Oryzias latipes: one gene and its partner. The protein of the gene in region 2 interacts with the protein of the main gene of each other region in a pairwise test. Links are inferred from orthologs where the notes say so. Each region holds a gene or a part of one and is shown on either strand. Other genes may lie near its edges. The genes, in order: rack1 and mkrn2.

Region 1 (15,026 bases), on a different chromosome or scaffold from region 2:
CTGATTAAGTTTCAGGTGAAGCGCCCATCCCCCACTCAGATCCATACATGGCGCCAACAAAAGGCCGGCGGAACAAAGAAGCACTGCCAGCCACCTAGCTTGTCAAGCGATGCCTGCTGGGAGAACTTTGTTCTTGTGCATGTTTCCCACTCACCCCGCATCTTCTTCGCCTTTGCTCGCGTCGATCTGGCCTCCTTCGTTGCCGCCGTTCTGCGAGCTCCCATCCTCGGCGTCCCCGCTTTGGTCGCACTGGTTCTCGGCGCCGCCGTCTTCCCCCTCGCCGACTAGGCCGGCTCCATTAAAATCATCGTCGAGCTCGTGCCCGTTTTCCGACGTCTCCATGTACTGCTGCTCCGCTTCTTCAGACATTTTTCGTACTATGACACCTACACCCGAGGAAACGATAGAAACATGCCTGTTAATGTCGGCGTCTGTCGTGATTCTGTTCGCCATTACCCCATTACGAATTCACGCTTTTCCCACCATTTTGACCAGCAGATTGGCATTTCATACATTCCAGTTTAAACCGGGTTTATAGCACCAAAAACTCATCTTTTTTACAACATCATCATGGCGGCGACTATCGCCAATCAAGAGTTGTTCTGCCGGGCGTAGAGATTAGCGACGTTGTAGCCATCTCACATCGATAAACCCGGACTGTGCAAATTAAATTCGCAGTTACGTAAGTCAGAGGCCACGCAGCCCTGAAAATTATTAAAATCATGAAATATCGTTCTTCTGTAATCAATATAATGAGAACCGTTTAAAACACAAACAAAGAATGCAGGTAAAATTGCGATTGCGTCGAGTTATGATGAAAAAAAAAATTATAACAGTCTACTTACAAGCCTAGCAGCCGGAGAGCTCTCTTCAAAATGGATTCTCCCACGCGACGAGAAACTCATGGTTGGTTTTCTGGAACCGGCAGGGGGAAAAAATTGACATTTTTCCAAAGAAGCTTTCTGATTGGACAAGGCCGACTGTCAATCACAAATCAACCTATCACACCAGAGTTAATCTCTCTCCTCTATTTTTTTAACACCACTCGTTTCCGCCCCGCAGACGAGGGGAAGGAGTTTAAAAAAAGAAGTGCGGCGTTCACTGATATCAGTTAAATGAATGATCATTACAACGCCCATGTATCCCCTTTCTTTAATTTTATCTTAATCTTTTTTATTTAAGTTTGTATTTTTCTGTATTATTGTTTTTTTTTTACTTAACTTTATTAAGGTTGTTTACATTTTTCTATGCCTGTTGTAATTGTAATTTGATGAACACTTTATACGACGGCGACAATGTTGTAAACATCAAGTGTTTTTTCTACTTAAAAAATGACGCTTCCGTAGCGAGATTAACGATCGAAAATCTTCCGTTTTCACAAGTTTCGACGCAACTCAAATGCAGCACATTCATCTAGTCAATTCTTAAAAAATATAAAAGCTTTCAGTATGTTAGAAAAAACACTCGAATACAATTTAGAACAAAACTTAGTTGATAATGTCACAAAACAAACTTAATGCACAAACACAGCTGAAAGTTGTGTGTTTATTCATAGAAAGTGGTACATAAATTGAATACATCTGGAACTTCCTGAGTCTTTTATTTTGATATCATCCAAGAGTTAGAAATATGTTTGAGGCTGATTCGGATTGTTTTGCAGCAGCCAGTCAGCAAGCCAAATCTGTAAATAAAAACAAATAAATAAATAATTAAATAACAGGAAAATGCTACTAATCAATAAAAAGAAAAATCTGCATAGAGTAAACTAACAACAGGATTGAGGGGCTTTTCTTTACAAAGCTCTGTGAGTCCACGAAGCAAAACCGGCTTCAGACACCTGCTCAGGTATTCCTTGGTTTCATGCTTTGAAGGGGAAGGCTCAATGAAAGCTACAGAGAGAAACAGGAAACATCTATTAAGTCATATAAAATTATACATTAAATACGAAGAGAATGGTGACAATTGGTAGAAAAGAAATTCAGTCTAGTTGTGAGTGAAGGATTAAAACAAGTTTACATGTTTTTGTATTTGTTGTAGTAGCCCTATAGACAACAAAATGTGTAAAAAAGAAACAACAGCTTACAGTTTGGGAACATGAATTTAATCTCCCTCACAGCTTCTTGAAAGGACTCACTGCCGTGAAGAGCATTTTTCAGGTCAGAAGTTCCATATTTCGCTCTAAGACTGGAGAAAATCAGCCATATCATCAGACTAAAGATCTAGATCAGGGGTCTGCAACCTTTTAAGCTACAAGAGTCACTTGGTCTAATTTTCTACTGAGAAAAACACAGTAGAAGCCGCAAAGTCCCACTTCACAAGTTTGGAAAAATTCCTTATTCATGCTTTTGTGGCCATTCATTCACAACATGGAGCTTTATAGCATCGACAATAACTGAATTAAAGTGAAAAATATATATGACATAGTTTTAATCAATTGTTTAATCACATCTATTTTACTTTTAAGAACTGCACAACAATTTCATTTTCAAAATAAAATACAAACATCTGCTAAAGCAGATTTAAAGTTAGCAGATTTACAGAATTAAAAGGGCTAATAAAATTGCAAATCAAACATGGCATGTTTTACAAATATGTCTTTGGTGCACAGTCTTGCTTTTTTACCTTTTACAATACTATCAAATATATTAATGACATCATTATTTCTAGATCCATACATGTAAACACAATTATTTACTTTGAATACTTTGCTTCTGAACAGCAACTAGACACTGTGGTACAGCAGAAGATTGGAAAATGTGCTTTATCTGCATCAGTATGGGCATCTGAGATAAAAATCTAAGCATAACTGACAACTTAACGAGAGAAAAAAAAGAACCAAAACCACAAAAGCATGATATATTACAATCGTATGCTTTTTTTCTTGAAAGCCAAAGAGCCACAATTGAGGGATAATAGAGCTGCATGTAGCTCTGGAACCTCAGGTTGCAGACCTCTGATCCAGATATTCTTCATTGACATGTCATAGTAAAATTTATTCTATTATGAATGTAATGAAATGAAAAATCTACACTGATAAATACAAATGTACTCCTCTGTTACGGTATAAACACAAATAAACATGAAACAGACCACTCTGGCTGACTTTCTTTGGCGTTTGTGATGCTGGCAGGACCAATGATGGACTTCCAGCGTGTGACAGCATCCTCACAAGCCAGCACCATGGCAACGATCGGGCCGGAGCTCATGTAAGCCATCAAGCTCGGAAAGAAAGGTTTTCCGCTGCAGTCTGAGTAGAAGTCACTGCACTGCTCTTGACTCAGCTGCAGCCTTCGCTTCTAACAGGATTGGAGAACGGACAGCAGAACCATGGCAGGAGAGATGACTATTTAAACTTGACAGAAAGGTTTTTTTCAAACACGTATGTCCTCATGATTTTCAAACATCCTACATGAATTAACAGCTAGAGTAGGCTGTTCAAAACTGACGTTTACCTGCAGTTATAATGAAACCACTAACCTTTTTTTGCTCTGAAAGCTAGAAGATCTTGTAGGTTAATACATTACTGTTCCTTCACGTGACTGAGAAATTTTATTTGTACCATCCTTAAAAAAAACTTCTTGTCTTCTGCATCTCTAACCCTTGTGCCATCCTACATTTCATGGACACCAGTGAAGATTGCAAATCATTGAAGAAAAAAGGTTCAGCGCACTGTATTGTGGGGTCTAGATGACCCAACTCCCAATGTTTAAGAGCCTAGGATAGCACAAGGGCTAATTGTGTCAGAAATGACTTTAGCTCGCTCACCGAATTGTTTGGATTAGCGCCCTCAAGTGGCCAAATGATCTCACTGCTCATTTGGCCACTGTGTGTGAGTTCTTGTTACATTTTGGAAAAATAAACAGTTTCTACACAGCATTTTATTTATACTTCTAGCAACAACAAAAAAAACCTTTATTTTTATTGTTAATAAACTTCACATGGCAGTAGACATGTGTCCACTGCGTTAATTAAACGTTGGTCACACAGAAAACTACTCCTTCTAAACGTAAATAGTCTCAGTTCTCAGACGTGTAGGTTTGCGCATCAGTGATTTACTAACCTGCAGGATTGTGAGGCCCGACTGAAGGATGAAACCTTCGATCTTCTCGGCTTTTTCATAGATATCTGGCTTTATGATCGCCAGTGTTCGTTCTACACGAATTTGATCGCCTAAATGCGTAAGTTCCATCTCTGTCTCACGCAAAGTAAAACTGATTTTTATAGGAACGACAAGAAGTCCTCCTCGTCCCACCAATTCAATACCCCTGCGCTGTTTTGGTTGCTACGCTACCATTTCACAAGTACGGGAGCTGAGGAGGGACAAACTTCTTTTATTTCCTACTTGCCACGTGAGAAGCCTTTAAGAATGAAAACTAAGGGTGTAATGATAGATTTTAGCAATAATTCGATATTTATGGTTGCTGATTCATATCGATTCAGTTTGAATGATCCGATTCACTGACCTAAAATGGATCCAGGAGATCTTTAGCCAAAACTTCAGTGTGACTCGGATAAATACCTGGTACCTTGTATTTCCTACAAGATAAGTTTAAATTGTGTACAAAAAAACTAGTAAACAAGAATTAATGTCAAATCCATTCACATTTTAGTTTCATAAAGTTGAGCCCACTGTTTTTCCACATCAACCTAATCCAAAGAGAACATTCTACCACACTGGATGGTCACATCTTTGCAAAATTAAGTATTTCTGCACATTGGAGTGGAATGATCAGTTTTTGCTGCAACCCATGCTTCAATCCAAAAGGCAGTTTCCAGTATTGATTAATTTCATTTCTAAACGATTTTATAATGGTCTGGGGTGTTTTGATTAACTTGCCACATGCATCAATCTGGATGGATCATAGGAATATAAATCAATTCAAATGTTTCACTCCTACAATTAACTTTATTCATGATTCAATGTAGACCTCAACATTTCAAACTTAAATTTGTTAACTAGCTTTTTAAATGATCTTGCATCAATATTATAAGTAAAACTTTGATTATGAGCAGTCTTCTAAAATGACAAACTCAATCTGCGTGAAAGTAAAATATTTAAAGTTAAGACCAACACACAACTTTTCAAACAGTCTTTTTATTTAAAGTCGATGCAGCGATGGATTCTTATCGGGTTCCAATGGTGACCTGCCACACTCTGATCAGGTTATCGGTGTAACCAGCAAACAGGGTCTGCAAGCAAATGAAGGATGGAAGTTACTGATCACAAAAACCATTAAATACATTGATTATAGCCTTGATTTTTGTCCTTTCCCCTCATATTTGCAGGACTGTCAGCAGTCAAAATCAGAGCTAATAGTGAATGGGTATAATCACTGGGGGTTAGAAGGACAGACTAGCTTTAGCAACAGCCCCATCTTGTACTTATGTCAAGAGGAGCTGAATACCTGTCCATCAGCAGACCATGCCAGAGAGGTGCACTGTGGGGGCTCGGCTTTGCTGTTTGTGCTGATCACTTCCTGTCTCAGCTCATCCACAATGATTTTCCCTTCCAGATCCTGCACACAGAATAAACATTTACCGTATGACTAAAACAACTCAAAATAACAGGCAATGTACAGAAATGACTGAAGCTAATTAGTCTGGAGCTCAGAAACAGCCTCTGTTATCATCAAGCAATACAGTTAGCATTTTCAAGTTTCATCAAGGCCCATCAAACCACATTCAGCAGTAGTTCCACATCATCACGTAGGAGCTCTCACCCAGATCTTGATGCTAGGGCCAGTGGCGGCACAAAGCCAGTAGCGGTTGGGGCTGAAGCAAAGGGCATTGATGACATCGCCGCTGTCCAGGGTGTACAGGTGCTTGCCCTCGTTCAGATCCCAAAGCATAGCCTGGCCGTCCTGATTGAGAGAACATTAACAAGAAAATAAGCCATGACCACACAGCAGCTCTGTTCTGGATCTTCATTTAGCGTGGCTTTACGACTCAGTGTCACTCAGAAACAGCCTCTTTTGTCATCAATTGTTTACCAACAGAATGATGTGTTATTTATCCATCACAGTTGACACCTGGAGGTCGGCCTTTGTGTGCCATCACTAAAAATCTTCACAAGTATACGAGTCGAGTTCTCCAACTGAACCAGCTTACCTTTCCACCGGATGCACACAAGGAGCCGTCAGGAGATACGGTCACCGTGTTCAGGTAGCCAGTGTGGCCGATGTGGTTAGTCTTCAGCTTGCAGTTCGCCAGGTTCCACACCTATAGAAACAGCAGCAGACAGTGACCGTCAAGTTTACACTGACATGAAAAGACCAGATAAAACTGTGGAGACGTGCTCTCATCCACAAAGCTTCTCATCAGAAACCAGGTCAGGTAATACATGCAAACTTCTTTAAAATCATGGAGCATATTTTTCTATTGTTTTTAAATCAATCTAATGGCAAATGAAGGGAAGCGGAAGTACAAACCTTGACCATCTTGTCCCAGCCGCAGGAGACAATAATGGGGTTGCTGCTGTTTGGAGAAAAGCGAACACAAGACACCCACTCAGTATGGCCTTCATCCTGCAAAATCAAACACATACGGTTTTACAGGAATCTATTTGATTACAGGTCAATGCTTATGTGATTTTTTAAAATAAATTTACAAAATTTACAAGCACGAGATTATCAGTAAAGCCTTTCTTTTTGAAGGTTAGCGACTTAATTTGCTTAACTTCATGATCTGACCGTCATGTCAACTCTTCACAGGAGTTCAAAGTCAATAAAATCCTGCAGCACGGATAAGGACGTCATAAGATCTACAAAGAGGCAGCATTATCCGGCAGCTCACCTGAATGGTGTACTTGCAAACGCCGAGAGTGTTCCACAGCTTGATGGTCTTGTCCCGAGAGCCAGACACGATCTGGCGGTTATCAGCAGAGAAGGCCACGCTCAAAACATCCTTGGTGTGTCCAACAAATTGGCGGGTGGTGAGCCCTCTGAAAAATGGCACATTTACCTATTAGCAAGAGGCTTTCAATAAAAAAAAAAAAAAACATGAAGAGGACGCCTGTCATCACACCACAGCTAAGAAATACACTCCACAACAGACGGACCAAGAAAGGAACATCAATAAAGGTTTGCCTTTAGAAAGCTGTGAAACTATCAAATGTAAACAAAAAAAGGTAAAGGCTAGAGACAATAGTACATTAAAACAAGTCAGTTCAATCCCATAAAATATAAACAGGATAGATCTCCATCAAAATGACTAAACATACAAGTTGAGAGAATTTGGCATTTAAAGATGATGTGAGGTGGAATGAATTAAAAACAATGAATTTAGGTTGACTGGACGTTTCATGACTTGTGAGGCTCCTAGAAACAACTAAAGCTGTAAACTGGTGCTTAAAAAACTGAAATGACTGGACTGGATGCAGGTAAACCTCATTTTAAAAAGAAACATGCTAAATTGATTTCCAAATCTCTCAATAGCAAAACAACAAAACTAATCTGAAATCTAAGGTATTTATATGCATCATGGAATGTAATCAGTAAATGTACTCGTCTTCTTTTGATAGTCTTTAGTACATATGTGTTAGGCATCTTTTCAAAATACATCCCATTTTCTCCACAAATGAATGGCTGGCTGGCAGCTGCTTCACATAAATGATTAAAATCATGCTGCCACCAACCACTAAAGAGATGCTTCCTGCCCTTCACTTACGTGGTGAGGTCCCACAGGCGGAGGGTTCCATCCCAGGCTCCTGACAGGGCAAACTGTCCATCAGAGGAAATCACAACATCACTTACAAAGTGAGAGTGGCCCTTCAGGGAGCGCTGGGGGATGCCATAGTTGGTCTCATCACGGGTCAGTTTCCACATGATGATAGATTTGTCTGAAAGCAAGAGATACTTTAGATAAACACATTCAAACCACTTTTATATTTATTCAGATACATTTTTTTTTTCAAAATAAAATGTGCATCAATAAGAAAAGTGCTTCAGTTACAACTAAGTTTTTTTGAGGTAGCAGCTGCCACATATTATGCTATGTCACAGGAAGCTAGCTTACCTCTTTGCTAACATGTCTACAAATGTTCATTTTGCATCACTTTATATACGGTAAAAACCTCCGTAGTTGTTTATTAAATCTAGCTGGTTTCATTTACTCACGCAACAAATTCAAAGTTACAGCATTTTGAACGCAAGCAGCTGAGAGCTAACGTTAGCCATGTTGGCGGTGCCGGCGGGGCGAAGCCTCACCTCGGGACGCCGACAGAATCATGTCGGGGTATTGAGGTGTAGTGGCGATCTGTGTGACCCATCCACTATGCCCCTTCAGGGTCCCCCTTACTGTCATCTGCTCAGTCATTTTGGGGAGGTTCGGTGGTGCCTTTTACAAGGATGGATTCGGATTTTAGACAGGTTCAGCCGAACCTAGCTCCTCATCGCATCTAGGCACAGAGGAAAAGGAAATACGACCCCGGATGCAGAAACTATGAAAGGTCGCGCAAAGGATTCTGGGACGGGTGGACTTGACTACACCGCAGTAGTCTGCTTTACGCCATTGATGTATGCACCTCTTAGCTTGTTTTTCAATTAAAAGTTCTCTTAAAGAAAGGGGAAAAAAATCCCAATAGTTATCTTTATTACGTACGGAAGAAGATTAGGACCACGGAGAAAGGGAAATTCTCACTTTATCTCAGAATTCAAACCTTTTCTATCTCAATAATGTCAGATTTCTGACTTTATTCAGAATTCTAAATTATCCAGTCAGAGTTCTAGACTTTTTTTTACGACTTCTGGCTTTTTTCTTCGGATTCTAACCCCCTCCCCCCATTTTAACCTAATTAATTAATCTAATTGGTCTAATTTAAACTTTTTTTACTCTGTGCTGTTTAAAATAATCTCAGATTTCTGACTCTTTTTTTACTTCGATTGTCATTGTGTTGTCAGAGCAAAGTGTTTGGACAGCCACAGCCACATCCACTTATGGCAGCAAAGGAGTGGCAACGTAAAAAGCATTTCAAGATGAACTTTTGTTTCTGATCAAATACCGTACTCTTTTTCTGTGCCCGTTTAACCCTTGTGCTATCCTATGACCCCCACCCTTACATTGACGTGTTATTCCTACCATGAAAAAAGTGGATAAAGGTGGAAAGATTTCATGTAATCCATGGACACCAGTGAAGATCACAAATCATTGAAGAAAAAAGGTTCAGTGAACTGTGGGTCTAGATGACCCAACTCCCAACGTTAAAGTGCCTAGGATAGCACAAGGGTTATACAAACACATTTTTAAAAATCATACAATGTGATCAGCTAGATTTTTTTAACATGTTGTCGTCTTTCAAAGTTGAATAGTATCTATGATGAACATTACTGACCTGTCATTTTAAAAGTGCGACATCTTGAAGAATCAGTGACTGCCAAATGCTTTTTTTGTTACTGTGCTGTACTTCCATTCATTATATTACAGATTGTTTTTTTTATTCGAAAATAATCAATTTTGCATTACTGCGATGTTACTTTATTTTGATCATGCAGAAGCAGAGGAGACAAATATACGACAAAGAATTCTATATTTGAATGAGGTGTAAGGCAGTTTGTATGATGATCCATCTTTTTGGAATTGTTTTTTTAATTCAAGCACACAAAACAAAAGAAAGCAGAAACAAAAGAAGCCAAATAGCTAGGATCTGTTCGTGATGCCAGAATTTTTAGGGAGTCATAATTGTGCCCCAAATTTCACCAGGGTATAATTTACCTTCATTTTTTATACAATGTCATGCATTTAATGTTATGTAAATTATACACTTTAACTGCCATTATAGGACATTTCAGTGGTTACTTGCTGGGGGACAGGGGGTATCCTTGTCTGCCATATCTGATGACCCCCTACCCTGATCCTCAGACTCGACAACAGGCACAGTTCAACCTGACCCACAGCAGAACACGGGTCAGGGTGGAGATGACTATAGGCATCCTGAAGGCAAGATGGCAGTGCCTATGTAGGCTCAGGGTCAGCCCAGAGAGGGCATGTGACATCACAGCTGCACGTGTTGTTCTTCACTACATCCCCAGCATGATAGGTGAGAGGGCCCCGCCACCTCTTGATAAAGACGACCAAGTGAATGCTCCATTAAACCCAGCTGACCAAAGAGATGGCAGGGTGGTACGGGACATGATTTGACAAATTTATGTCAAATAACAATCAAGAGTCAAAGGCTAGTTGTTATTTCTTTATTTGCTGTAATAAAAAAGTGAATTTATTTCTTTATGCTCCATTTAACAAATAACAGATTAAATGTACACATACTGTTTTTCACCTTAAGCTGGTGCTCCAGCAATTCTATTTCAAGGCTGGTCTTTTTTAGGCATTAAGTTGTATAAGGTCCATCTAAAGGTCACATTTTCTAATTTGCCTTAGAAGATGAACTTTATACATCTCTCTGGCAGGAAACAACAGAGACAAAGTAATTCCACATAATTGGAATTAGACGTTTGCAATACAGACCAAATATTAACATGAGAAAATTGTAGCTGCAGAAATGTTCTTACACTGCCAAGAGTCATGGTGGAGGTACACTGACCCTCATCTGCATTTACATCCCCATCAATATTCTGTAAAATTTCAATGACAATATTTATCTCATTTAATAAATAAGAAAGAGGGGGGCATCATATACCTCTATGGGTCTCGCTTTGTCAATTTCTGTTACAGCAGAAGTGGTCTCTTCATTTTCATCCTGCGGTGTAAATATGTAAAGATGCTTGATCCACCAAACAGAAAACTAAAGATCCAAAGACAATAATCACTTACAAGTATGATAAAGTGTGGTGATGCAGGAGAGTCCAGTACTACAAATACACCATCAGCATCTTCAATACAATAAAACCAATAACATACTCTGTGTAGATTTTCAAACAAATACCTAATAAAGGAAAATCTGTACAAATAGACATGTTTAAGCTTATATCTACAATAAATAACACACTGAATCCATTCAATATGAAGTCTGTCCAAAAAGTTTAATTTCTTCAAAGGGAGAGGAAGTGAGTTGATGTAATCCCACTTGTTTATGTTTTTAATTGAACTTTTTACCCATAACTACAATCTGGTTCTTAACTTCTATTAAGAGTTCCTTTTCTTTTACCTGTCCAAGTCATCAATATTCATAATTTTGTTGTGTTCAGGCTCACAACACCGAGCATATTCCAGCTCTCAGGTAATGGACAACATCTTAGACATTTTTTGAATCATATTTACAGAAAGGAGCAATAAAACTCTCACCTTTTTGGCTCCTGGAGTCCAACACTTGTTTAGAATCTGATGGTGTTCTGCACAGACTTGACTTCACATTTCACATGATTTATTGATGTGAAATGATTGCAGTTATGCAGTCTGCAGAAATCCATTAGTTAGAACTGACATTGCCAACAGTGTATTCATGACTCTACATTGACACTTGTCACTGATTAACATTTAAGCAGCATTTTGCAAGTGAAATCAGTGACAGACAGCATGTCTTTTTTGACGCAGGGTTCACAAAGTATACGATTTTTTTATTTAATACAATTGAAATCCTTTTATTTATTAGTTGCAGGATTTTCTCAGCTTTGTTTGTACTCATTTTAGGTGAGATCAAAACCTTTATTTCTACTCATTCAAAGGTCTTAAAGTTTGGAGTTATTTTTCTGGTGCAGAACCTTTAAACCCCAAAGAGATTGTAAAAGATTTTTTTTTGTGTAGAAGTTTTTGATTGAGAAGAATTAACAATTCCATCACTGTTGAAAACTTCCCGTAAAAGGTGAAGCAACCTCAAATCATTATTCTTCTACCACCATGTTTGAGTGTTGCTTCAATGGTTTTTTTGGGACAAGATGTGATTGGAATCTGTCTTATGAGTCCATTAATTACTCGTAGAATGTAATGGAGATGATTCGGTGTGGTAATTTATTACCCATTATTATCAGTACCAGCTTCGTTTCCAGAAGGGTCTGGATGTTGCTGCTTATCCCAGCTACCTTAGGGCAAATGCAGGGTACATGTCGGACAGATCATGAGCGGGAAAAAATATTTTATATCCTTTTGCTACACCAAAAAGTAATAAATTACTGTAATACATTACTTATGCAAAATGTTACTATCAACACCATGGAGAGAATTTTAATTAAAAATGGATAAAACAATTTTAAACAAAGAGATCACAAGAAAGCATAAACGTAGAGCGTTTATTTCTGTTTACAACTTTGATTCACCAGATTTCATGTTACTTAATTACAAAAATAGCTTTAATCTTCAATTTACAACCTCAAACGTTCCCACCCTCCACTCCAAAAAAAAAAATCCCCCAATAAAAATCAAAACACATTCTAACAAAATCAAGCTAACTCTGTGCTATAAGATTTTCTAAATATCAAACTATAACTTGTCATGAGCTCACTTTATGAAGCAATTAAAAGGAAGGCACTGATAGAATCTGTAACAGTAATAAAACACTGTAATGTTGTGTCACAGCTAACCGCCAGCTCCCACTGAAGTAATGCCAACACTTGTTGAACCTCTTAGTCATGAGATGCATACCTCATTCAGCAAAAATACTTCATGGTTCTTAACAAATGCTTATCTTGGTTTAAAGACTGCAGCTTATGTTAAACATGCAACGTCATCAGAGAAAAACTGACATAAACTGTCGTTTATGGAATATTTCATTCCATAAACGACATACATGAAATGGATTTTAGAATTGAAAAGAGTAAAACTTTATTGATATCAAAAGGGGGAAGCTACTTTAATTATTTTATACAACAACACTGCAAGAAGCAAGTAGCAAAAATACAAAAATTGCAGCGCAACCTAAAGCTCGAGTTGTGAATCAGTGGCTACTATCATTCAATCAGTATTTTAATTTCAAATTTTCTATTGTTAAAATGTGAATTCTTTGATTGGATCCGAGCTTCAATGAAAACATATGTGCCGTCCAAGTCAAGAAGCAATCAATTGTACTGATGAGAAAAAATATCAGCTCATATCTACGAGGAATACACAAAAAATACAGTTTTTATTGCGTTGCTGTAATTGTGTGTCTGTCAGTTCTGTTTATGCATTTAAATGATTGAAAAAGTCAATGACATACACCTTTCAGCCAAAACAACGATGGATATGTTTAAGATAAACGGATGTTAAATATGAACAAACACAGTAGAACTTTTGCATGCATGTTTGGTAAAAATGTCATACGGTACTTTGGTAAGTTAGTGCTGTAATAAAATTCATGTAAAAAGGCACTACAGAAACAAACAAAACAAGTCATTTCCTTCAGTTCTGTAAAAGTATCTTCAGCTGTTGTGCATGTCTTTGAGCACCCATCTGAGTGTTTTTTATCTAAAATGACAACAGCAACAAATGCCACCCACTAGAAGAGACAAATACTGTAAGGAGCTTAAAGAATCTGCCCAAACAAAAGTAAAATGACAGAAATGTCATAGGGGGATTGTTTGATTTAAATGAACACAATCTTGCATGCATTTTTGGTTCAAACGTCAAACTTCAGCACGTTAGTCCTTCATTCCCTGGGTAAAATTCATAAGAAAATACGTTAAAAAAGCAAACGACAAACCTTTGTTTAAGCAGCAAATATTTCCGTTGCCTAAATAAACAAAAATAACCACCAAAGAACGTCCTCTGCAGGTAATACGTAATGATCGGACATCTGGTTACCAAGGCAATTCTGATTTACACAAATACTGTTCATGGTTCCTTCAATCTGGCCTTGATGTTTCAGTAAATATCAAAGAAAATGCACAGGAATGCATAAAAAATAGGAAACAGTACACAAAAAAATTAAATGTAAGGCAAATGTGAGCCATTAAATGTTTGTTAAAGACTTGTTTGTAAAGAAAGATTGCAAACTCTGTTTAAAATTTCATTTCGGGACACAGTCGATACAAGATGCTAAACACAAGTCTTGTTATGGTCATGCATTCATATATTTTACAACAGATTCACACAAGATGTCACAATCACATGTCCTTTATTCCCACATAGGTAAATCCTTCCTTATGTGCCAGGGACGTCTGTGAATCCCCCAAAAACCTGGCTGTAAAGCAACTGCGGAATATCATCAGCGTCATCTCCGTTTGTGGAGAGGCAGAGTTCTGTCGTCCCCTCCTGGAGAGACTCCATAACGGAGGATGTGAGCGTTCGTAAAATGACGCAGAGGCGTGGCAAGCCCTGCTCCCGAAAAGCCAATCTACCCTCCACGCTTTCTGCCTGTTCTGTTGCTGCCTTTCTCCACCAAGCCCCACCCCCTCTCAGGGCTGGGAGAGACGCTTGCGTTTGAGCTTCTGCCTCGCCATTTCCTCCTTTTGAGAAAACAAAGAGAGAGGACAAGAGAGTGCTGACAACACAAACCTCCATCTGGCAAAAAAAAAAGAAAAAAGAAAAAGTCCATCCGTTCAAACATCCATGTCCTGGAGGATGGGAGCCAACACACTGCCACAAGTCCCATTCATGGTTACATCAACCAGTTTGTGTTAGTGAGGCCCCTCTTCTACTTCAGCACTGCCATCTGGACCGTCCTTCAAACTAAGAGTCCCTCTGCCAGCTGGTGGCTGCGTTAACAAAACTGGATCTCAAGTAAAAAAAAATTAAAAAAACCTCAAAACTGTTCTTTTTCTCAAATTTCAATATATTATGTAATAGGATTTGATTAAAAAAATGGGGAGTAAGGCTGCTGGTGTTGTATTCAGTTGCAAAATATACCATATCAATATGTACAGATTCCATGCAGCTGGTTAGTCATCACTGCAAAGAAAAAAATAGTAAGGGCAGATTAGTGTACAAGTAAATAGCAAGCCTGCACAGACTGTAAAATACTCACAAAGTGCCCCTGTGTTAAAGCAGATCAGATATTCTCAGTCCAGTCATAATTTCAGTTTAATTTTTGTTATATGGGACATGAGGAACTCACCTTATGCAAGCAGCCTGGTATTGGTAACCCATCCAATCCCTGCAGAGGGAAAAGATTCAAATTTATTCATTGTTTTACCTGTCAAAACCAGTTCAGAAAATGTAATAAT
Region 2 (15,331 bases):
AGTTCTGGTCAAAGTTTAGGTCCTGTATGTCCGACCTGAGTGTTGAAACAAAACACAGTTAAGTTAACCCCCATGTCTTGTTTCTGAGTTTAAAATATACCAAGAGGTATCAAAATGTTATAGTTCCTTAAATGAACTCTAGAGTTGGGTTTATAAAAGGGGCAGTTTCCAACTCCAGAGTTGTTGTTGTTTCTCTCTCGGCTTTTCCCATCAGGGGTCGCCACAGCGAACGAGTCGCATGGTAAACCTGGCAATGTTTTACGCCGGATGCCCTTCCTGACGCAACCCTCTCAAAGCAACCGGGCTTGGGACCGGCACAGAAGTTGAGAAGGGAAGGTTTCCCACTCCAGAGTAATGAGAGGAAAAGAAAATCCCACTTCACACCAAAATGGGAGTGTATGTACAGGCTGAATACAAAACCTTTTTGTTTTCTATTTCTTTATGAACTCTTCTCGACAGCTTGCTGTTTTGATTTTATTAGTGTTTCACCTTTCAACACTGGAGCTTTAGCTCCGGTGTTTGTTGATTCCCCTTTGAATTACAGTAACTCTTTGACCATTCAGAATGTCAGAATTCCAACAGATTCTGACACTGAAGCTGATTCTTTGCAACACTTTTCAGTAATGAAGTGCTGCATATCAGCACAAAGCTGCTTTTCTCAATAATTCCGTAAACGATTGAAGAGTTAGAATAAGTCAAAGAGCATGTTATTTCCTGTTGTCTGTGACACCTCTGGTTTTAAAGAACTTGTGCCATTTTTGACTGGGAAGAGCATACTCCAGTCAACTTGGCAGACCCATTTCACCTCTATTTTGGTGTTTTGAATTTGGGTGACATCAGAGATTATCTGTCCATTTAGTAAATGTCTATGGATGAAACAAGCACTTCACCTGCATGGTCTCTTGGCCTCAGGCTCCGCCTCAGATTCCCTTCCCAGACTTTTTGTGTTGTCACAAACTCCATCCTCAGTCTTTGCCCCCTCAGCCTCCCTCAGTTCACTCTTCACATCCTCTATCTCCAATTTCTGCGTTAGTTTGTGAAATATTTGATCCACAGCCTCTGCAGACATTCCCTGAGCACACAGACTTGCCTTTGCCCATCCAAGTAGTTCCTCATACCTGTAAAAGACTGAAATGTAAGGCAGGAAGTGATGTCATCAGCCAGACAGAACAAGATGCTGCTAACCTGGCCTGAGAGACAACGGGAAGGTACAAATCTTCGAAATCTGTAAGACAAACAAACCAGCTGACTGCACAGAGCTGTGTGGGTTAGACCAGATCAATGATGATCTCATGCAGGTGCAGGTGTAGACTCACCCTCCCATTTTTCTGAAATGCTGTGATCTGGTCTGGCTCTGGACAAGATGCCTTTTCCAAAATAACCCTGAAAAATCAAACCTAGTTAGATAAAACTGAAGTAAATCTCCTTAGTTTTTACTTGGTTCTTTCCATCACTGCTAGTCCTTGTAGTCAGAGGCATAGAGCAGCAATAGTGTCACCATAGGACCAAGGTGGGAAAGAAGACAATAATGAAAACACAAACTGACATGTTTCTTCCCGTTTTAAGAGCTTTCCATCCAGGAAACTAAAGGGTTTACATTCAGTTTGATTTGATCAGTTTTGATTTATTGATCATTATCATTTGGCATGATGATGAAGTCCTCTCGTTGATTATTTATTATGGTAAAAGAAAGACGGGATGCAATAGATTGTTTTCATCAGAGAAATACAAAATTTACGCCCAGCTTTAACAGTTATCTGAGTCCAGCACATTTAACTGTTGCTGCAGATGCACCTATAATGTATCAGTGCGACGGCATTAAACGAACAAAAATAGTATTCATGTAATTAAGGCATTCTAAACTAAATCCTATAATCTACACTGGATCTTTTCAGTAACATTTTGCAGGATTGCTTTGCTGTCAGTGAGTCGGAACTGGCAACCCTGACCTGGTTGTGTATCTTCCTGACATGGTCGGGGTGGCAGACAAGCACGTGCTGGTTGATGAGCTCAGCCCGGTACACGCACTTCTCCCCGGCACTACGGATGACCGGCAGCGGAGCCTCCAGTTCTTCGTAAACACGCGCGCGCCGCCGGGGAGCGCGGAAGTCGGCCTGCATTGCTGTGGACCCGTTACTAAACGGCTGACCTCTTTGTGGGATTCTGACCTGGAAATTTGTGTACTGTTTTCTGAACCAGAATAAATGTGGGTTTTGCCGTGCACGTGGGTCCTCTCTAATCAAACTGGTCCTTTCGAATTTTTTTCTCTGTAGTTACTCATACTTTTACAAAATTGCTCAAGAGAGCCACCTATTGGCATGGAGGTAAACTACAATCCACCTTTAAAGCGACATACAAACAGTCCATGATTCCCTAAAGTTTGCTTGTCTACAATAATGACTATGAATGAAATTGAAAGGAAACTATACAGGTTTCCTAGTTGGTTTTATTTAGTTTTTACCACAAACTAATTTAAAAACAACAATAAATGCTCCACTGAACATGGGATAAGTGTAATACATCACACCAAACTGAAACAAAAATATTCATTTCCAGAATTTGTCAAAAATGTAAAATTATTACTAGTTCCATCCTCTATGTTACACATTAATAAACCAGCAGAGGTCAGACAATTTTGCACATCCTTCAAGAAAATTTTACTGTGCCTTAATAAATGCCTCATGAAATCTTTTAAATCAGCCATGTGTTTGCTTGAACTTGTATTTTGTCATTTCTGCTCATGTTTGTGTATACATGTCTTTATCTCCTGTGTTGTTTTGTCAGACATAAAAATGAGCAGAAAAATCCTGCTCATTTTCAATAAACCGAAAGGTGAACAACAATACAAGATAAATGTTTAAATATTGTGCAAAATAAAATTAAAAAAACAAGAAAAAACAAAACAAAACAAAAGGCAAAATGATCTTTAGCAACAATAAAACCACTCTGAGGAATCCCTCCACACTTACTGTATCTGCACAGTTCTGATACATGTTTGTTTTGTTATTGCTTCATTGAACGAATAAATAAAACAGACATCCATCAACATTTAGTTTTAAACACCAATAAAAAAGAAACATGTTGGAGAAAAAAAAAAAATCCCAATTATGTTTACGACTTTATGTTTTATGTCGGGGTGTCGTCTCTGCAGATGGAGACAAACTGGGTGAAAATCTTCTGGTTTAAGAAGTGCGTTTTAAAAGAATAAAGTTTATGTACTGAATGGTTTATGAGCCAGTTTTGATTTGTTCTGATCCGTACTGCTGCTGGAAAGCAATATATCATTCAGAACTTGTGTCAGTGTGACCGCTAAGGGTGTATTCAGATTCAAATCCTTTGTTCTTGTTGGGAAAACAGTATAAGAAGCAATGTGTGTCACGTTGAAAAGTGTTTTAATGAGCCTGCATACATCCAACCAAATTTCAATGAGTGCTGTGTCTCATTGTTCTGGTTTCATGGCATAGTTTTAAAGTAAATTCTGTTAAGGAATTACAAGGTATTTTTTATGGTGACGTTACAGCACCGCCGGGTGCATGCCGCGTAACCACACAGAAAAGCATGTAAGACGCATTTTCAGCTGAGTTAAAACAAACGTAACAAGTAAACAGTTGGACTCTTTTTTTCCCTCTTTGATAACATGACAATCATTGCTTCACATTTCTTCGCAGCTCATCGGTTCCTTCATTCCTACTCTGTTTACGTCAGCTATGGGGGCTGTTTTGGTTCAGTTGTTCCGCTCAGAGGACGGATTGTATTCAGACTGAGGAATCCCAGAGCAAACCAAAGCTTGGTCCGATTGGAAATGAACCAAGACCCCCTCCAAAGATGGGTCAGAGAGCGGTGTCTGGTCCTGGACCAGGGTCCACCTGGGTGTATTCAGACTGAAAATTTGTTCCGGATTATCCAGGAATGAAATCTGGTTCACTTAAAACAAACCAAATGTGTCCAGTCTGAATTCACCCTTAGTCTAGTGGGTCTGTTTTCATTGGGTCAAAGGTCAGGCCACTTTAGCTACTGGGTTCTGCTGCCTGCGGTCGGTCCACCATGTAGAACTGGTGTTTCTCGATGTGTTGGACCAGTGTGGTATATTTTGACACCCTCTTCATCCTTGGCAAGATGAAGCAGCGAGTGAAATCCTCTTTGCTCAGGGAGCTGCAACCCTCCACTGTCAGGACGGTATTTAGAAACTGCAGGCAGAAGCTGAAGCAGTTGTGGTCGTCTTCATGGAATCTGGAAGACAAAGGTGGGTAGGGGCTTTGACTGGCATCACCTGTGTTGACTGTGTCACCTGTGAGTTACCTGTGCCACACAGGGTCCCACATGGGTCCCTCTGAGAAGCGCTCCAAGTACTGATCCCACTGAGCCAACAGGTGGAACATGTCTGGTCGGACCAAAGGGATGTTGATGCAGCGCTCCCAGCCTCTCTGTTCTTTCTGCACCCCATTCTGGGTGTAGTTGTACACCACTCCTGCACACAGGTACCCAAAGGTGAGCTGCAGGCATGAGGGACAGCTTCCAAAACAATTTAACTGTGCTCTTGTCTTCACAGCAGCCAGCAGAATTCCAGAGAAGAGAAGTTGGACTCCCCAAAAACAAGTTTTACCTTTTGTATTGGAGATCCCAGTGTGCAGATCTGAAGTCCCATTGAAGTCGCTATATAACACACAGTAGGATGAACTGGTTATATACATGTGTCAGATTGGTTCTGTTAGATGGGGCTGTATGTTTTTCCAGTCTTGTCCTCACCATTTCTGTGGTTTCCGCAGTGGGGATGTAGATCAGAAGGGCTGACACATCATAGCAGACCACGGTGTCATCTGTGTTACTTGATACCAACTTGATATAATGCACCTTGCTAACAAAGCTCTGGATGCTGGGGTGTAAGGTGTTGTCCAGCAATGAAGTTGAAAGGATTGTGAGGTGTTTGGTGATGTTGTAGGTGGGTTACAGTACACACATTTATTTTTGCCCATTTGATAGATGAAATCCAGTTAGTAAACCAAGTGCAAGAAGCTTTTGTTTCAAAACTTGCTGCCTTTTTTACACATACAAACATTTAAAGAAAGTAACCCCTAAACAGACTCAATGAAAACAGGTGTGTTGAAACAAATACTGAAAAGGATAATGGGGAAATGGGTTAGCCTACAACAGGGGAATGGAGAGGGTTCTTTTCTTATAAACAGTATGTTTGTGTGTATGACATGGTTTTCGAATCGGCTGCATGATTTGTGTCTTTTTTGTTGAAAAATATTGTATATAAACCCCCCCCCCACACAAAATATAGCATCTATTTAAAAGGAGATTTAAACTCCTTTTTCACAGTGAGAGTTAAGGAAACACAGCCACACGTACAAGTGGTTCTTCACAACTCCAACCTTGTCTTCAAATCTTTAAAAAGAAACAAAAAACCTTGTATCCTCCCTTGTGCTCATACAGCATTGGTAAATGTTAGTGTTGGTCTTTACCAGTTGAGCTCTGACTCACGGACAGTCACCTTAGTAAGGTCTGCCTTTTTAATCTTAAGCAGGTGTGCAGGTGACATCTGAACCTCCGGTGGCTCAGGTTGCACCTTGGCATGTCTTAGAATCTGCTAAAGCAAAATACTTGCAACCAGTTTCACTTCTTCCGCTCCTATCCCTCCTATCGAATGATGTTTAAAGGCTAGTTTCCGAGCAGGTCTCTGATTTCTGATCTTGATCCAGATCGTTCTGGTTTCTGCATTGAGACGCCAACGTCTTCACTTACCTGAGTTCTCTGCACAGTCTGACACAATAAACCACATCCTTTACTCGCTGACATGGATATTCAAGTCTAAAAAACGGAGCTTATCTGAGCCAAGCATCACTGAACTTCATTTTATAGAGTCAATGGGGATACTGGTTCCCCAAGGCTGAATTTTGGGACATTGTGTCTATTAACACACAATCCTTTTCCTAAGGTTTAGTCATCAACTCTTGTTGTTTTTTTTGTTTTATATTATCACAGATGATGACTACTGGACCTAGGAAGTGGCCTGTCTTTATTTGTCTTCCACACCAATCCCACATGTTTCTGTCTAAACTGCTTCTGAATGACCCTCTGGGTAAACACATCAGTTCTCTGTATGCTTCTTTATTCATGATCGCTCTTACCTGGTGTGGTTGTCATGTGCAGGTGCAATCAGGAGGCAGCAGGAGCTCTTGTGGCCATTGGTAAAGGGGGAGGGCAGGCTGACCGGTGCCTCCTGCAGTCTGCTCCCCCTCAGCTCATCACCGCAGCTCGGGCACTGTTCCGGAACAGAGAAGCAGAAGATGTCCTTCTGGCAGTGACTCAGTCGGATCACACTGGGCTCCATCTCCTCTCCTTTTTCTTCTCGACTCAACTGCTTCTGTCAGACTCATCTACCCTCAGCTCTTTTTGCCCCCACCCTTGACTCCCAATTCTTTCTTCCTTACTTGGCTCCTCCCCCTCACACAGTTGCTTGGTCACAGCCTTTCATACGATAGCTTTGTACCTGGCTCCAGCCAATCAGGTGCCAAACTACTATAAAACGGTCATGTGATCTGCCCCACCTGTGTCTGTTTACCTCTGAACATTGACCTTTGGAATGTGTGCCTATTGTTGTCATGGAAACCAACAGTGTTGGTCTGGAGGAAAGTGTCTGACAAAATAGGATGTCAACTGAGAAAACAAATGAAACTAATACAAAAAAATCTGAAAAGTCTGAACTAGGTTTTAAAATGTGTACGTTTACATTAAAACTTTCTTTTTGTTTTTATCTGTGGAGGAGCTACATCTCCTAATGGTGCAGAGTCATGATTAAAGATTGAATTATTAAAACAATTTTCAGGTAAATTTTAAAATGAAAACCTGTATGAGTAGTAGAACAGAGATGTGACTGGTCAGTGGACACTTTTTCCATCTCACAAGAGATCTGATCTGACAGCTCAGGTGAGTCTGAGACAGACTTTCTTTTGTGGACAAATGTCACAGAATCTCCCCAGGAAGGTTTCAGGAAGGTAGTTTATGCTGAAACCAAAATGACCAATTTTACTGAATTTGTTATTTATTTATTTTTTTAACACTGGAACTTGCTTATAAAAAAAGAGAGAAGAAAAATAATATAATAGCAGCACCATCCTCATCTTCTATGTTTGAACCAGAAATAGGCTATGTTTGAAAAATATTTCTGAAGGAATAGTCAAGACATATTAAACGTTTTTTTTTATGGATGAAAGATGTCATAAAAAATTAACTTGAAAAAGAAGAAACAGTTTTTATTCAAAACTATGCTTCAAATTAGACCCTTACCATCTTGTCCCACAGCTAAAATGTAAGTATGATGGAGTCAGTGTCCTTGTCAGAGCACACATTGTTTAATCTCACCAGATAATAAACATATAAGACTTTGATGAAAGTAGTATGCAATCGGGTTGCATTTAGTTGTTTTATTTTTGCTATCACAGAAAAAAGCTTCCCTGTGCAACCCCATTCCTAATGTCACAAGAAACACAGTTGGTATGGAAATAATCAAGCACACATGCAAAAACTTCTGCAACAAAGTGATCTCTGTCTGTCAAAAAGGATTTCCTGTTTTTCCCACAAGATCATAAAGGCAGCATTTGTTCCTCAAATAGGACTTAAATAGCAAGATAGCAGGAAAAATGAAGATGAAAAAAAAAGAGAAATTATTCAGTTTAGTCATTATCTGTTAAAAATACTATAGTCCCGTGAGCAAAAGTTGTTTAACTAAACACAGATATCCATTAAATTTCAAATGCAACATATGCTACACATGGATCATTTTTAGCTAAACAGAGCATCTATTTGGCCACAAAACTCCTCTCTCTTCTTGTCATTATTCTGGTCAGCAAGAAACATCAGAAACAATAAAATAGGACAGGGCATAATAAGCAGTAATAGACAAAAAGTGTTTTTCTGACTCCAAATGCCACTGATCTCACGGAAATTGACAAGATAAGAAAAAAGGTTTTGTTGAGCATATTTTGGTCTTCTTTATTGTCCATCGTATTTTTTGTCTCTCTGAATGACTCTGTCACACGATGACATCATTTTCATGGTCAGGTCGTCCACATGGGGTGCTGATGCTCCATGGCAGCCGGAACTGACCTTCGTTGTCTGCTGCTCCCTATCGGAGTGTTTAGAAGGGAACACCAAACACAACTCCGACTGCAAAGTCTGAAGACCGCGAGGAAGATGAGCACCAGACAGGTGACATGTAGGTAAGTGTGCGGTTCTCTGCCCGTCTGTCGGTCACTCGTCCGTTCGGCTTGCTGTCCGGACCTGACTCAGGGTACTGCGCACGCGCTTTCTTCTTCGTGCTAATGTTTTTAGCTGTTAGCTCCGAGGTTCGAACTAGTTTGGACTCACCTGGTTGGTTGACCTGATAAAAATCAGAGGAGCGCCACAGCTCAAGTGGGAGGACACTTCACGAATCTATTGGTGATGATGATGCCAGTTTTTGTGTGGTTTTAGGGTGAGGCTCACGCGTTACCATAGCAACGGTCAGCAGGTGAGGCGCTGCCTTCTGGATGTTCAAATGTATACATCAATGGTCCATTATTATTTATGACTACAGGGAATGAATCCCCCAATATTTAACGAAAGTCCAAAAATATTTAGGTAAACTCAAGGAAGAAATGAGTTTACCAGACTGAAAAAGTGAAAATCCTGTTACATTTTATAAATAACATGTTTCTGATTTGTGAAAACGGAAAAAAGTGTAATTTCATTGCTCACAGTATCATTCCTATGAGACAAAGCGAGACACATTTTAATCTGTAACCACATTTTTTGTAAACTCTTAAACTTTACATAGAATTGATTTTCAATAGAACCTTATTTGTTGTTGGTCACCTTTTGGCATATCCCCCCAGGGGTCGCCACAGTGAATCAGCCTTCGCTGAATCAAACAGGTGTTTTGGCCGACTTTTTACGCTGGAAGCCCTTCCTGACGCAGCTTACCCTGCCTGACATAGCTTTTAATTGCAAAAAAATCATCCCCACAGGTGTAAAATAGAAATATATTTATCTTTTATGGAGACGATTATTGCAAACAAACAATATGAATGTTTACTTTTAATATATGGCACAAAATAAACACTCTTAAAACAACACTGGAAAAAAAAAAACTCATGCCGGTTGATCCTGAAAGTAATCATAGTTGCTTTCACAGAGCAAAAGACAAAGCAAAACATTAATTGGGTGAATAAGCAATAATATAAAGACAGTGAGAAAGACAAGGATACATCTGATTTTTAGCTAAATACAGTATACTTTCAAGAATAAAAAGACAAACTGCTTGGTTTGATCTGATCGCTTTTTTCAGAAACTCAAATTGTTCTGACAGATGTATAGAGAAAAGCAGATGTTATTTGCATGTGTTTACATGCGACCAAGCGCAAAAAATGATGGAAGATGCACATGCATTGCCTGCACGTATTATTAGTGCGTCGTAGGCTAAATGCTGTTGTTGGTTGCACGTATTAACCTGACCCTAATCGTAAAACTTCTTGAGAGAGCAAAAGAATAGAGGATCAAAAAGATGGAGAAGAAGACGATTCATCGCTATGGTTACTTGCTGCTAAACTAAACATGTCAGCAGGGTTCATTGTTGTTTTTTGTTGCAGATATTTTATCCATGGTGTATGCAGAGAGGGCAGCAGGTGTCTGTTTTCTCATGACTTAACCAACAGTAAACCCTCCACCATCTGCAAGTTCTACCAGAGAGGAGTTTGTGCCTATGGGGAGCGCTGCAGGTGAGACCGCACCCACCTGTTTCTTCTAAAAAGTTTTGTTCAGCCGGCAAGCCAAAGATCGTCTTCGGGACACAAGCACAATTTGTGTGTTTTATTTTTAGGTATGATCACATCAAACCTTCATCCAGAGGGGGGAGTACTTCAGAGGAGACCCCCAGTGGAAGCAGAGCTGGCCGAGGAGAAGGGAGGAGGGCGCTTGTCTTGAGGGACAGAGGTGGGGTGCCAGCTGCTTTGCCCTAAAACACGAACAGATGAACTCAGGGTGCAGACATCTTCCTCACCTCAAATGCCACCTCTTCCTGCAGCTCTGGGTCCTGATGGTGCGTTTGGAGGCTCAGCAGACGGTCTAGATTTCTTGGCAGCAGCGGCAGCTCCACAGTCTTACGTGGATGCTATCAGAACTGGGCTTGACACCTCCACACAGGATCAAGGTGAGGCACAAACACACTCATTTGTTTGGCTGGTGGTTTTGTGCAATGCCATCAGTAACAGATTTTTTCCTGTGTTTTTAGCGTCTCAGCCGACAATGGCTAATGCTTTGCGAGAGTTCGCCCCTCTGTGCCCATATGCCGCAAATGGACATTGCTTTTATGAAGATACTTGTACATATCTCCATGGCGACCAGTGTGATGTGTGTGGACTGCAGGCGCTACATCCCTATGACCCTGAGCAGAGGAGAGCACACGAGAAGGTGTGCATGTTAGTTTTTGTTTTTCTTCATCCTGTCTGACTGTCTGTTTTGAAACTGCTTCATTTTTTGTTCCTGTCTGCAGACATGTCTCCTTGCATTTGAGGCTGACATGGAAAAAGCCTTTGCAGCTCAGCTTAGCCAGGACAAGGTGGGTGCACTCAGTCCCAGAAATGGTTTCTGTGATGGTGGCAGCCCTGACCCTCGCTGTTTTTATCCAGGTGTGCTCGATCTGCATGGAGGTGGTGGTACAGAAGGCGAATCCGTCAGACCGGAGGTTCGGCATCTTGTCCTCCTGCTGTCACGTCTTCTGCCTGGGTTGCATCCGACAGTGGCGCTGCACCAGAAGCTTCTGTAACAAGATCATAAAGTGAGAATGGCATGCAGGTTTCAGGAAAGGGTCTGGGGTCGTCTGTTATGATTCTGATTCACAGTAAAACCGAGAAAATATATTCTACTTTACAATGTACAGTATTTATTTGTGAAACCTATAGATCCAAATCATTTCAAAGTAGATTCAGTTAAATTTTGTTTTATAAATGATAGTCCACAATTGTTTTAACAATTTGATTAAAAAAAGTCAAACTTGTTTCATTATAACAAAATAAAATTGCTTTTAAATTTTAATTTTGACCTGAACAGTATATGATTGTAAAATCATGATTATATGAATCTAAACTGAACTGGAAAGAAAATTGAGAATAACATTCAGCCCGCTATTCTACCAAGGTTCTAAAGAATTCTAATCAAATATTTAGTGTCTTTATTATTGAAAATGTTTCACCTTTTAACAAAAAAAATCTCATGTTTATGTCTATAGTTTTTAGGGGCACATTCACACTGGCAGGTGATTCGCACCAGGCTTCATTTCATCCCATGTTCCTCTTGGTTTAGCAGATTTAAAAGCTCCCCCAAACTTTAGTGTGACTCAAACAGGTAAACCCTTTTTCTCTTTAGAAAAAAAGACCCTAGTTTGCCCGAGTGTGAATGATCCACTGACAAAAAACAAACATGAGCCAAAGTTAGGAGTTGTCAGAAGTGCTGACAAATTAAAAAAAAAATCATAACAGCTTAAATATTGAGAAAATGCAGAAATCATGAGTACGTTAGACAACTTCTGCTCTGTAAGTAGGGTGTAGCTAGGAGATACAGGTATGAATTAATACATTATTGTTTGGGGGCTATCCAGTTTTCTTATTTTTGCTTCCTTTAATTTCCAGTTTGATTACTGACCTCAAACGAGCAGCTCTTGGAACTGCAGATTTTTTTCATGCATTTAGTCTGCTTCTCTCTTAATTTTTCTTTACCAAGTGTGCCATGTGAATGTAAACTAAGTTAAATTGGTTGAAACTTTATTGCATTACCTGCACATCTGAACCAAGGTGAGAGGGTATATCCTTGTGTGAAAGAAACACACTTTTTAAAGTTTGAAGTTCAAAAAAATCTAAAATAATGAAAAAACCCTGAGAACATTTATGTTAGCATGCTAAGTCCACCAGGCGCTACACCAGCTACAGCTACAACGACGAAGTCTGTTGTGCCATCTTCAGAAGCAGATACATTAGTTCAAGTTGACTTTGATGAGAAGCCCACTCATTGGACTTACTAGTTGTCATGTTGTCATGATTGTGTCTGTTTGAATCTTTTACGTTTAGCTGGTACTAGACTGGTAGCATGGTCCTAGATCTGAGGCTGGAGTTCAGGAGGCGATTTGATTAGTTGGGTCTTACAACTTTTCAACTTTGACAGAAGTATGGTTGCCCAGTCTTAGTTATTTACAACTACCACCTTGCTTGTTACCCACTTCTTCCTGCTTCACTCACTGCTAAATACTCTTTTCGAATGTGTTTGATCAGTCATAACTTGGAAGTATCAACACAAGTGTATCCTACAGTTTCAACCAGCTGACATACTGTAGCTACATCTTCAAACATGGCCCATCATCAGGTTTCTGTTGCATCAGTGGTTTGATGTGATCTTGACCTATTCTGATGGGTTCTGGGTCTCATTCAAGTTGTCGATCTAAGTAAAGTCTTGGTTCTAAATAATCACTCATAGCTTCATCAGCCTTTCAGAACTGCAGGGTGTATTGAAGTCTTGAGAGGTTTGCATGTTTTGACCATTGCTTCACTCTGCACATTAGATCTTGTCCAGAATGTCGGGTGGTCTCAGAGTTTGTAATTCCTTCGGTGTACTGGGTGGAAGACCAAGACGAGAAGGATCACCTAATAGAGCTCTTCAAGTCCGGTGTCAGGTAAGCTTCTTGCCTGTGCCACGCTCACTTCATGTAAGCCATTGATCTTTGATGACTGTGTCTTTGCAGCAAAAAGGCCTGTAAGTACTTTGATCAGGGCCGCGGCTCGTGTCCCTTTGGGGGAAAGTGCTTGTATCTTCACGCCTTCCCAGACGGAACCCGAGCAGAACCGGATCGGCCTCGGAAACAGCTGAGCTCTGAAGGGAACATCCGGGTAACAAGCTGCTCCTGTGTGCTCTTAGCTTCTGGGGTTTGTAGTCTATTAATGTAGCTTTGGTTCCTTGTGTTTAGTTCATGAATAACGTCCGCCTTTGGGATTTCATCGAAGAGCGCGAACAGCATTCAGGCCCACCTTTGCCCCCCATGGATGATGACATCGCTGAGCTGCAAGAGCTTTTCATGCAGATGTCAGGGCCAGGCCAGGAGGGACCAGACCCTCCAGCCCCGTCACACCAGTAAAGGCTGCCTTTCCTTGTCACCATGGAAACCTGTGGCACATCAGGACTAATGCTTTAAAAAATTAGGCTGTGTGAGCTTGTTTATGACATAAAATGTTTTATGTATTGTACTTACAAGTTAACACAGAATCATTGTGCCGTGGGACTTTGGTGTGAAATTTATACATTTATTCCCATGCCTGAGTGAAAGCTGTACCTGCAACAAGTGCAGTGAGCACAACCATGCTGTAGCCACCTGTTTATGAATTTATCCTTCAGACTGCATTGATGTTCACTTGAGTAGCTCCTTACTGCCCCTTGTGGCTCTAGAAGAAACATTAGCAGCTGTTCCACCATCTGGCCACATAGGATAGTGATGAATCTGAATGTGAATATCTGAAAAGATTGAGATATACCTGAACAACAATACATTATCATAAACTGGCTTTCTATTGGCACCAGCCATTTGCTGGGTCAAGGCAAAAACCACTCCATACCTGTTTGGTCAACAGGAGCTGTAAACTGGAACCAGAAGGTAGTTTATGTTTGGTAGGAGAGGGGCACCTTTTTTCATGCACAATTTTAGTTGAAAATTAGATTATTTTAGCTTCACAAACCTCCAGCATATCCTGAAGTCTTTAAACTATATTTTGATATTTGATCTGATGAGAAGAACCAGAACCATGTGGGCAGGTTTTCATGTCAGAAATATTAACTTCTGGACAGAGATTTGGAATGATTCTAGAATGTGGTGGGACATCTCAAATTCAGGGTCAGATTCCCAGTTTCTTCATTGCATTGTTACCGTTGCAGTTAGCATCTTTTCTCCTCCCTTTGTCAGATTCGATTTGTTTTTCTCTGATTGCACCAGACAAACGCATCATGCTCCCTGACATGAGATCTACTGTTTATTGTCAATTATGTTTTAGGACATGAAGCTAAAGAACCTTTTAGAGGATAATAAAAGAAAAAAATCATCAGTTATAGAACATTTTAAGAACCATGTTGATTTATTTGTGGTTCACCATCTGTACTTTCAAGCTTATTTACCCACAATTTAATGGTGTATTTTTAAATATAGCTCCTGTTTGAACAACCTGACTGCCGAAACTGTAAAAAGAAATGGAATGTACCTTTTCACCGTCACTGTTCATCTTCCTTGTGCTCATTCTGCAAAGTCTGCAGCAATAAAAGTTTTTCAGAGTCCTTAAAATGGACTTAGGAGGAAAAAAAAGGGAATTTAAAATGTGGGACATGTACTATTCAGGTTCTCCTAAACATGGGGATAAAACAAATCTGTAAATGCAGGTCAGCTATAGAGTTACACCCCAGTCTGGAGAATTTTAAATGTATGTAACATGATGGAAAGAAAAACAAATTAAATGCCTCAACGGTTCAAAAACTCTCACAATAATCCCAGGAATAAAAATTATTAGTAATAAATATACCAAAAAAAGAAAAAAGAACGAACTATTTAGCCTATATAAACTGTATAGAAAAACCAGTTCTCTGTTCTTTTGCTGCTTGCTGGGGGTGTGTTCCAACATTTGCACGTTGCCTTCGCAGATCTTTACCCAATCAGGTGCTCCAGACAATTAAGGAAAAATCGACCAAGAGAAATAGACAGACAGCCTCCCACTCCTACAGAAAATAATAAATAAACGGAGACAGAAAATGCCATCAAGAAAAAAGAATGGACTCATATATAGTCATTGACTGGTTTGTTTGACAACCCTCCATTTATTGTTTCATGATTGACCTCAATCAAATAAAACCTTCATGCCAACCTGTTTAGTTTTTGAAGTTTGAAAAGTTCATTTCGGAGTTCAGTTGTTCTCAAGCAATTGAGAAGAATCAAAGTAAGCAGCTGACAATGACATTAACATGTCACCCACCGCTACAACAAATGAACACAAACTGTCATTTGGAAATAACACGACATCACACAACCTTTATTTCCACCCATTTATAACAAGATTTTCCTTTAACTTCCCTCCACATGCAGACCATCCATCCATCCATCCATCCATCCATCCATCCATCCATCCATCCATCCATCCATCCATCCATCCATCCATCCATCCATCCATCCATCCATCCATCCATCCATCCATCCATCTTCTAAACTCACTTTATCTCTTTAAAATGCCACTGAGGTTTGTGAAGGAGGATTGTGTTTTACTGACGGGATGCT

What was found.
Region 1: the proteins of mkrn2 (region 2) and rack1 interact in binary tests that used the Homo sapiens proteins (3 or more experiments, as listed by UniProt). The two-hybrid records come from large-scale screens. The link is inferred for Oryzias latipes from reciprocal best matches to the Homo sapiens genes MKRN2 and RACK1.

What each region holds. Positions count from the first base shown.
Region 1 is NC_019868.2:17,066,821-17,081,846, reverse strand, and holds rack1 (receptor of activated protein C kinase 1), read right to left. Parts: upstream 8,431-15,026; 5' UTR 8,314-8,430; coding exon 8,205-8,313; intron 7,838-8,204; coding exon 7,666-7,837; intron 6,941-7,665; coding exon 6,793-6,940; intron 6,525-6,792; coding exon 6,429-6,524; intron 6,220-6,428; coding exon 6,109-6,219; intron 5,862-6,108; coding exon 5,721-5,861; intron 5,517-5,720; coding exon 5,406-5,516; intron 5,191-5,405; coding exon 5,125-5,190; 3' UTR 5,080-5,124; downstream 1-5,079. Other genes in the region: heterogeneous nuclear ribonucleoprotein A/B, read right to left, coding at 155-369; nme5 (nucleoside diphosphate kinase homolog 5), read right to left, coding at 1,622-1,681, 1,771-1,889, 2,084-2,184, 3,091-3,296, 4,061-4,189; collagen alpha-1(XXIII) chain, read right to left, coding at 14,259-14,309, 14,828-14,836, 14,918-14,956. UniProt on the Homo sapiens protein: Scaffolding protein involved in the recruitment, assembly and/or regulation of a variety of signaling molecules. Interacts with a wide variety of proteins and plays a role in many cellular processes.
Region 2 is NC_019863.2:19,257,700-19,273,030, reverse strand, and holds mkrn2 (probable E3 ubiquitin-protein ligase makorin-2), read left to right. Parts: upstream 1-8,099; 5' UTR 8,100-8,196; coding exon 8,197-8,222; intron 8,223-9,629; coding exon 9,630-9,758; intron 9,759-9,859; coding exon 9,860-9,972; intron 9,973-10,063; coding exon 10,064-10,189; intron 10,190-10,270; coding exon 10,271-10,449; intron 10,450-10,531; coding exon 10,532-10,597; intron 10,598-10,667; coding exon 10,668-10,816; intron 10,817-12,589; coding exon 12,590-12,700; intron 12,701-12,769; coding exon 12,770-12,914; intron 12,915-12,991; coding exon 12,992-13,159; 3' UTR 13,160-14,927; downstream 14,928-15,331. Other genes in the region: tsen2 (tRNA-splicing endonuclease subunit Sen2), read right to left, coding at 1-35, 891-1,118, 1,186-1,225, 1,317-1,383, 1,950-2,120; mkrn2os (MKRN2 opposite strand protein), read right to left, coding at 4,008-4,230, 4,300-4,468, 4,604-4,653, 6,132-6,334. UniProt on the Homo sapiens protein: E3 ubiquitin ligase catalyzing the covalent attachment of ubiquitin moieties onto substrate proteins.